3 linked regions of the Kluyveromyces lactis genome follow. The protein of the gene in region 2 purifies or fractionates together with the protein of the main gene of each other region. This does not show direct contact. Links are inferred from orthologs where the notes say so. Each region holds a gene or a part of one and is shown on either strand. Other genes may lie near its edges. The genes, in order: STE18, GPA1 and FUS3.

Region 1 (2,161 bases), on a different chromosome or scaffold from region 2:
TCTGAGCCATCTTCAAGAAAGAACTCTACTTCTTCTGACAAGCATGAATCTCTGCTATAGGTATCGTGATTTAAGGGTTTGTTTTTGAAAAGTGAGAATAATCACTCAATCATCCACACAACCATACAATAAATATATCATACCCCATGCATTTTACAAGATTAAACTGGTTTTAATTTTCTGATAGTGGAATTTTTGACTATCAACCCTGCTTACGTTCACTACTTGTAACGAACACCTATCTTTTTTCAATAATATATTATACTACCATATATTATTATATTTCTCTCACTCTATATTATATGCATTTTACCAATTCAATATCATTTTTCCTGTTATAATATTAATATTTACTATTAGTTTCATGAATTCGACTTTAACATTAGACCTATATACAGATTTAGAAAAAAAACAGTTAAAACGAATGATATGTACTCACATTATGTAGTATTCTTATGGGTAGAATTCCTTGTACTTCTTGTAGTAGTACCAAGTACCCAGACCACCAAGAACAGTCAACACCACTGGCACTGGTTTCTTGAATCTGCCTGGGATACCTCTGGCGATACCGGTGACTAGCATCACACTGGACGCACCTAATGCGATTTCTAACCCGTTGTCAGCATTGTTCTTCAAAAGGTATCCAGCGTACCCGTAAATACCACCGAAGGTCAACCCGGCAACCAACGATGGAACACTTCCCTTACGGATGTAACCCATGGTACCACCAATGGTGGCTAGAGCAGCTAAAGCAAAACTTGGATGGTCCATTGTAATTGTTATCTTTGTGAATATTAGATGAACTCTGTCGGTGAGAACTAGACTGGGTTGTGCTATATAAATTGTGAGGTGTATTTAGTTTGAACATGTCTATCATGATGATGGTCATTGCATTTGTAATTTTGTTTTCACTTTTATCTCTGAATTTCATACAGGGAAAGCAAAGAAAAGGGATTGGATCGGGGTTCGACAGTCACGTGACTAAAAAAGGTCTCCTTTCCCAGGCGCTGGACAGCGTCAGTATGAGTTTTTTTTATGGCCAAAACCTCATTAGATACTGATTTGAGGTTTCAAGATGAACCACAACCAGACAAATATTGACTGAGATACTGGAGGTTCTCATGCCAGCGGGAAATTTAGTACAGGATTGCTAAAAGAAAACGTTGTTTCAGTCAAGGGTTTTATGTATATAAAGGTTTGTAATTGGTAGTTTTAACGCTTGGTACAACTGTTTTGCAGAAAAACTCGGTGCAGTGATAAGAGTGAGTAAAGATAAGCTCTCTTCCTTGGTGTAGTTTTCGAGTTTGTATTTGTGTACCACTGATGGGAGAGTTACCATATAAGATCCAGGAATTGAAATTGAGAAGAATCGAAGAATTGAATAATAAATTAAGAAATGAGCTAGCAAGGGAAAGAATGACTGCGTCAAATGCTTGTTTGTCCATAATCGACTATACCTCAACCCATAAGGATTACGCTGTTCCAGAAGTATGGGGTTACCCAATGGTTGGTGAAAACCCATATAATAATACTATGAGGAAGAACAATTTTGCTAGATCTCACGAGGAAACGAGTGCCTGTTGTACCATAATGTGATGATAAAAATATTGCTGCCGTATACTCTCTATGCTTATTAGTTACATATATATTTAGATAAAACGAAATGCGAATGCAACAATATTAGATCTTATTCTTTCAATTGACACATACGGAGGGTAAACGATTCCCTCACTTCATCCCAATTGTTTCTCCTCTTTGTTCAACGTTACTTTGTTCATTTTCAAAGATGGATCGATATTACCGTTCTCGTCAGTGCATCCACAGTCGTAATCTTCTAAGATTGTGTTACAATCGTACCTTGGTTTTTCAAGATGATCGTTCACTAGATTATGAATATGACAGCCCCATAAAGCAGCAGTGGTTCTACTGGCTACTTGTGGTGGGTATTTCTTCAACATCTTGACGAAATGGTAAGAACATTCGCCACATGGATATAACTCCGCATATAGGTAAAGAAATTCACGTAGTTTCGTTTTCTCTTGCTCTGTAGGCTCGTCGGGAAATCTGGCTAAAAGAGTGTGGAAATATTTCCATGAAGCCCGCCCCAAAGCCTTTTTCGCCTCCTGATCAGGCATCTTCGGCATAATCGTACCTGATGCAT
Region 2 (3,106 bases):
GCTTTCATATCCACAGCTTCGGGATCCCAATTTTTTCTCTTCATTGCCTCGAAGAATTGCTTCTCTGATGGATAAACCCAATTATCCGATGTTCCGGTTCTAGGAATGGAGGATTTCTCTCTCTCTGTTGGCAAATTAACAGCTGTGGTATATTTCGGGTGTTCAGGTATCTCATCACTTGAACATTCGACATCCTCAGTGATGATCGATATGATTGGTGCTGGTGCTGCTGCAACTGCAGCACCGCCAGCAGAGCCATTAACGGTCTGTAGATGGTTTTTCAGCCATACATCCTGGGAAGAATGGTCTACCGGACAAACTCCTGACCCTTCAGAACTAGCCGGTGGATGATTTGGAGGTAGTGCTTTTGCTGATTCATTCTTATTATTAGTGCTCTGTTGTTTCAACCACACTTCCTTCGTGGAGTCATCCACAGGACACTTAGGCTGTTCTGGCATTCTTTTGCACTCCACAGTTAGCTTCTAAACAGTCGCGAATCCCCTTTAAGCCGCCAACGATGTTGCTTCTATATTTCGAACTATTGCGTTCAAGCCTATCCTGATGAAATGCGCATGAATAAGCTTTCCTGTATTCGCATGTTCTGCATACTTTTCCATTTCATTCATTTCTTTTCAATTGATATCAAATTGATGAAGTTTCAGAATGAAATTGATATCCACGGGAGATGACATTTCATTACCCGAATGTGCGACAAACATCCTTGTTTCTCACGTGACTTGACCTCCAGATGGAGACAGCTCTCCGTTGTACATAGCAATCGATCTTGCAGCCACCGTTAACATATTGTGGTGCAGTAATTACCTGCAGAGCGACTTCAACCTAAATCTGAAACAGGGACGTTGCTAGGAATGTTTTTTAAAAGGAAGCAAACCCTTAAACAGTGTCAAGTGCTTGTTTGTTTTTTACTTGCTTGTTTTATTTTCCAATTGAGCTTGATTTTAGTTGTCGTCTCTGTGAGATTTCTAGGGTATCTGAGTTGAGGTTCTTGACTCAAAGCTTCATCATGTTTTGAGGTTCCTATGATAAAGGCTATGCAATGCTAAATCAGGAATGTAAAGTAAATATTGCTACGTTACCTTTTAATATTAACATATATATAGACGGATTGGCCACATCGTGCCAACTACGGCGAAAACGTGAACTATAAAGGAAAATGAAACAAATGAAAGAAACTGACGCTGGCCGGCAAGAAATTAAGCATTATGGGTTGCGTCGCAAGTACAGGAAACTATGAGAACGAGGATGATCCCTTCATTCAAAATAAAAGGGCAAATGATCTCATTGAGCAAAATTTACAGCAGGAAAGGAATAAGAATAAGAATGAGGTGAAGCTCCTTCTATTAGGAGCAGGAGAAAGCGGTAAATCAACAGTGTTGAAACAAATGAAACTCCTACACCAAGGCGGATTTACCCATAGAGAACGAATGCAATATGGACAAGTCATCTGGGCAGATGCAATTGAGTCGATGAGAACGCTAATCTTACAAGCAGGCAAGTTGGGCATCGAATTGGATAGTGATTTGAAAAATGCACATTCGGGGCAATTGGTGAATACGGAATTACACCAATGCAAAGAGAAGATCTTCCGTGCTAACACATTGGACCAGATTGATGCCAGAATGGCGGGTGGTTCAGAGTTCCTAAACGAGTATGTGTTGAAATATAATGGCATAGGATCTAAGAAGAAGAGGCAAACCACGCTTGGATTCAAGGAATCAAATGGTGCTGATCCTGAAGAAGAGGATGAGACAGACGCTTTCTTGAGTGAAAAATTAGCCGGGACAAGTTATACTGGTTCCTCGGAGACTTCAGAGTTGAAACGTATAGACCAAAGTACCAACGAAGAAATTGCCTATGCAATCAAAAAGCTTTGGACGCAGGACAAGGGGATCAGACAATGTTTCAATAGGTCAAGTGAATTTCAATTGGAAGGATCTGCATCGTATTATTTTGATAACATTGAAAAATTCGCTCGAGTTGATTATGTTTGTGATGACATGGACATTTTGAAAGGAAGAATTAAGACCACTGGGATCACCGAAAACAGTTTCAAGATTGGACCAAGCACGTTCAAAGTTTACGATGCTGGGGGACAACGAAGCGAGAGAAGAAAATGGATCCATTGTTTCGAAGGTATTACTGCTGTGGTATTTGTAATAGCAATTAGTGAATATGATCAAATGTTATTCGAAGATGAAAGGGTGAACCGTATGCACGAATCGATAGTATTATTAGATACACTATTGAATTCTAGATGGTTTGCCAACACACCTTTCATACTATTCTTAAACAAAGTAGATATTTTCCAAGAAAAGGTGAAGAGATCTCCAATCAGAACATGGTTCCCCAATTATCCAGGGAAACTGGGTGATAGCGAGACTGGACTGAAATATTTCGAATCATTATTCTTAAGCTTGAACAGAAGTAACAAGCCCATCTACGTACATCGAACTTGTGCAACCGATACACAATCAATGAGATTCGTTCTAGGTGCCGTGACAGATTTAGTAATTCAACAAAACCTAAAAAAGAGCGGCATCTTATAAATCCTTTAGGTGTAATATGTCAGGTAACGCGCACACATTACATATAAGTTGTACATAGTTAAGCGATGAATAAGGTTCTAGATCTTTTAGAGGGTAACCTCAAATATTTGTCAGACCCCATCACAAAGGCCAGGTTAAAAGTGAAAAGGCAAAAAAACAGGGTGTTTCCGGGTAACGAAAGATAGCAAGCAAGTCTACTATTTAAGAACTTCAACAAGACACATAAGTACCCTTGCTTGACGAAGTTCTACTGTACTGACAATATATAGATACTTGCAGGATATAACCGTTAATCAAGAGCCATAAAAAAACATACACACCCAACATACCATTACAGAGAATGTCTATGCAGACGAGTTTGTGCAAGGAAAAGAACATCCCATTGAGCCAGATCATACGGCCCATTCAGCCGGTCCTAGACCATGCAAAGATCGATGCGATGATATCTACTTTCAAGGGAACACCGAAGGCGTCTCGAACAATGACCGAGTCACAAGCTGCAGAACGTGTTGCCACATTACCCGCCGATCAGCGTCTAC
Region 3 (3,265 bases), on a different chromosome or scaffold from region 2:
TGGCTGGATATACTAAGCGAAGTAATGCAGCGCGTTAGAAAAAAAAAATCGCGTCTAACTGCTGTGCGCTACTCGAATCACACAATAGCTCGGACATCCCGAAACATTAATGGTGCAGCTTACTCAGTTTACTAAGTTTGCAAGGATAGAGAGGGGAAGGAATCGTATCGGGTCGTAAGAATTACTGCATGTGGCAATGTATGACTGAAGAGCATACCATAGTGAAGGAAAGAGTCATGCGTGTTAAAGTCCGGATCAATGGATTTTTTGCATTTTCGTTCACAGATTTCCTAGTGCGTGTAATTTGTTTTTCTTGGTTTGACCTTCCCTGCAACGAGGGGGCCCCTAAAACAAACAAGAAAAAATCGCATTTAAGATAATCGCAGAACGGCGGCTCCGAAATGGGATCTTTTCGTCTCAATTTCTTTTTTTCCTTTCCAAAGCACAAAACCGCATTATGTTTATCTGATGGTGTTCTTTGTTCATTTTGGAGACCTCTACACAAGAAAATGATATAATACGCTAGTGGTTACTTAGTCATTCGTTTGTTTTTGGATGGTGTGTCTCATGACACGATTTCGTTCCATAACAGCCGCTTCAAATCCTTTGTATTTAGCCGCGACTTCCATTGGTCAAATTGAAAGAATGACGAAGGAATCGGAGTTCCTTCGGGCTCGTCGTCCGGGTCATGGTACGAGACCAAGTATGGATGTGATAGCGCTTCCGTGGCAGTGATCCGTAGCCTCGGATCGAATTGCAGCATCCGGTCAAGGAGATCAAGAGCGGCTGCAGATGCATTCGGGAACCTACGCCGCCAATTGATCTTGGGATGCTTAGGTAACGAGCGAATGTACTCACGTGCACGTCTATTTTCTACTAGCTCCACCAATTCTTGTTCCGTGGGTGTCCCTAAAGTCTGAAATATCAGGATCAACTGATCTCTGTAATCTTTCCCGGGGAACAACGGTTGTTTCCCCAAGAGCTCGGCAAGAATGCATCCGCATGACCATACGTCCATGGACTTGGAGTACTGTGCAGCTGTTAACATTACTTCCGGTGCTCGGTACCATCGGGTTGCCACATACTCTGTCATTCCCGAAATTGCCGGGTCACCGTCATTAGCCGCCGATGAAGGGGAGTTATCATCCGTGTCATCAGCGTCAACATGGGCATCGCCATCTGTTGCTCTTTCAGATACAATTCTTGCCAAACCAAAATCACAGATTTTCAAATCGCAGTTGCTGTTTAACAACAAATTACTTGGTTTTAAATCTCGATGGATCACATTACTTCCATGCAGCACTTTAAGCGCCCTTAAAGTTTGGTATACAAAATACTGCACATGATCCTCACTTAGTTCCTGCGTCACGATCACTCTATGCAAGTCCGTCTGCATCAACTCTTGAATTATGTACACCTCGTTAAACTGTTCGAAAGATGATGGTTTTTGCACGTCAAATATGCTGATTATGTTTTCGTGTTGGAAATGCTTCAATATCTTGATCTCTCTTAATGTTCTAATAGAAAATAGGGGTTTCTCAAAAGGTTCGATCTTTTTGATAGCAACTATTTCTCCACTGGGTTTGTGCTTCGCTGAACATACCACTCCGTAAGCACCCTCACCGAGAAGCGACTGTAGTTGAAACTCAGAGCTTATGTTAAATACTATCCTCTTGCCCATTGTCACACTATCTATCTCTGGTTCTCTGGATGAATAAAACCAGAGCAAAAATTTGTCCACCCCTTCTTGCCTGAGAATTTATCCATATTTACCCACTTTTAGGTATGATATATATATATGTAATATCTTAAGTCTTCTTGTTTCTCACTAAATCGCCTCAAAACCTCAAACCATCGAAGTTTTCACTTTAATTGTTTGTAATTCATGAACGCGACATTCCCCATATTCCCTTAAGTACGGCCGTTTCATCTTGAAACGAGACTAATTTCTTCAGAGATAATGTGAAACAAGCTGCAACAGTTTAGGGAAAAATTAAGGTTCTTAATTATGTTCACATTCACGTGACGCGTCCTTTTTTTTCCTTCTTCCCTTTTACCAACTTTCAAATGCTCAGAATTGGTATTATCAAAATTGCTAGGAGGAAAAAATAGAATATATCGTACAGATTGTCTTTTGAACCATTGTTCAACAGTTCGTTGTAATTTTGGTCTTAGCGGTAGTTAGCTTGTGTTTCATGTATATACTCAATTACCGATATAAACGAAACCCTTTTACATTGCTTGCAGTACTTTTAACGTCTTTGTCTCATGTTTTGGTGGAATATCCTTATTTGGCTGGGGCTTTGGAACTTTCTGCCCGTTTTGGCTCAGGATTTTAAACCCAAGGTATCGTTCCATTCGGATGTAGACACGCATGGCCGCTTGTCTATCCTCGGATTTGATGATTCGAGAGTAGTTCTTAAACTTCTTCGTGGTGTTGAGCTTTATAGAAGTGAGGATAATGGTGTTACTTGGGATTCGGTGGGATTGCCCCTTTCGTCTGATAACAAACCTCAGGAATGGAATCACTTGGTACTAGATCGGATTTATAAAGCAGATGTTGCATATTTGAGTGGTGAAAACGGCGTTTTAGCTACCGGTGATAAAGGGAAATCTTGGAAACAGTTAACTTTCCTAGACGCAGATAATCATAAGATAGACTTCTCTGATTATTCGAACGTCGGCGATGAAAATCGTAAACCGATTATCAACGTTGAAATCGAGTCACATCCCACAAATAAGAATGCAAGAATTATCAATATCTATGAACTAGGTAAACTGGATGGTAAATTTACCTTAAGGCAGATTTCGTTTTATTCCAAAGATGGTAACAATTTCAAATTGGCCAGCTCTGGTTCTAAAAGTAATGATGATTCAAACCCTTTAAACATGTTTTGTTCATTCGTACAGAAATCATCAAAATCAAAACTGTACAAATTAAAAGACAAGGTAATCTGTCAGGAGAGTACCGTACTATCCCCTTTCGGAGATGTTTCCAGTAAGTTGTATATCACCGATGTTAATTTTAAGAGTTTGAGTCCGTTTGCCGAACAATTACAGGATTTGTCTCCAGCATCAACGTTCATTTCCGATAATCATCTATTTATCTTGACATTATCAGATCGGTTCAATGAAAATTCTGCCGCAAATCTCTGGAGATTGGAAGATGATAGCACTGATAAGTTTGAACAAATATCCCTTGGAACACAGATTCGTAAATCGCTAATGGACGTCAACGAAATAGATGGGAGAGCAATTATTACCA

What was found.
Region 1: the proteins of GPA1 (region 2) and STE18 purify together in Saccharomyces cerevisiae (affinity purification with western blotting; 3 studies listed by BioGRID, with this or other methods). This does not show direct contact. The link is inferred for Kluyveromyces lactis from reciprocal best matches to the Saccharomyces cerevisiae genes GPA1 and STE18.
Region 3: the proteins of GPA1 (region 2) and FUS3 purify together in Saccharomyces cerevisiae (affinity purification with western blotting; 3 studies listed by BioGRID). This does not show direct contact. The link is inferred for Kluyveromyces lactis from reciprocal best matches to the Saccharomyces cerevisiae genes GPA1 and FUS3.

The regions. Positions count from the first base shown.
Region 1 is NC_006041.1:557,304-559,464, reverse strand, and holds STE18 (Ste18p), read left to right. Parts: upstream 1-1,323; coding exon 1,324-1,596; downstream 1,597-2,161. Other genes in the region: TMH11 (Tmh11p), read right to left, coding at 454-771; ERV2 (flavin-linked sulfhydryl oxidase), read right to left, coding at 1,734-2,161. UniProt on the Saccharomyces cerevisiae protein: Implicated in the pheromone A- and alpha-factor response pathway. The beta and gamma chains of the putative yeast mating response pathway G protein play a positive role in initiation of the mating response.
Region 2 is NC_006042.1:2,405,374-2,408,479, forward strand, and holds GPA1 (guanine nucleotide-binding protein subunit alpha), read left to right. Parts: upstream 1-1,223; coding exon 1,224-2,567; downstream 2,568-3,106. Other genes in the region: cytochrome c1 heme lyase CYT2, read right to left, coding at 1-458; SRX1 (sulfiredoxin), read left to right, coding at 2,908-3,106. UniProt on the Saccharomyces cerevisiae protein: Alpha subunit of the heterotrimeric guanine nucleotide-binding protein (G protein) that mediates mating pheromone signal transduction.
Region 3 is NC_006041.1:928,405-931,669, reverse strand, and holds FUS3 (mitogen-activated serine/threonine-protein kinase FUS3), read right to left. Parts: upstream 1,682-3,265; coding exon 566-1,681; downstream 1-565. Other genes in the region: PEP1 (type I sorting receptor), read left to right, coding at 2,269-3,265. UniProt on the Saccharomyces cerevisiae protein: Together with closely related KSS1, FUS3 is the final kinase in the signal transduction cascade regulating activation/repression of the mating and filamentation pathways, induced by pheromone and nitrogen/carbon limitation, respectively.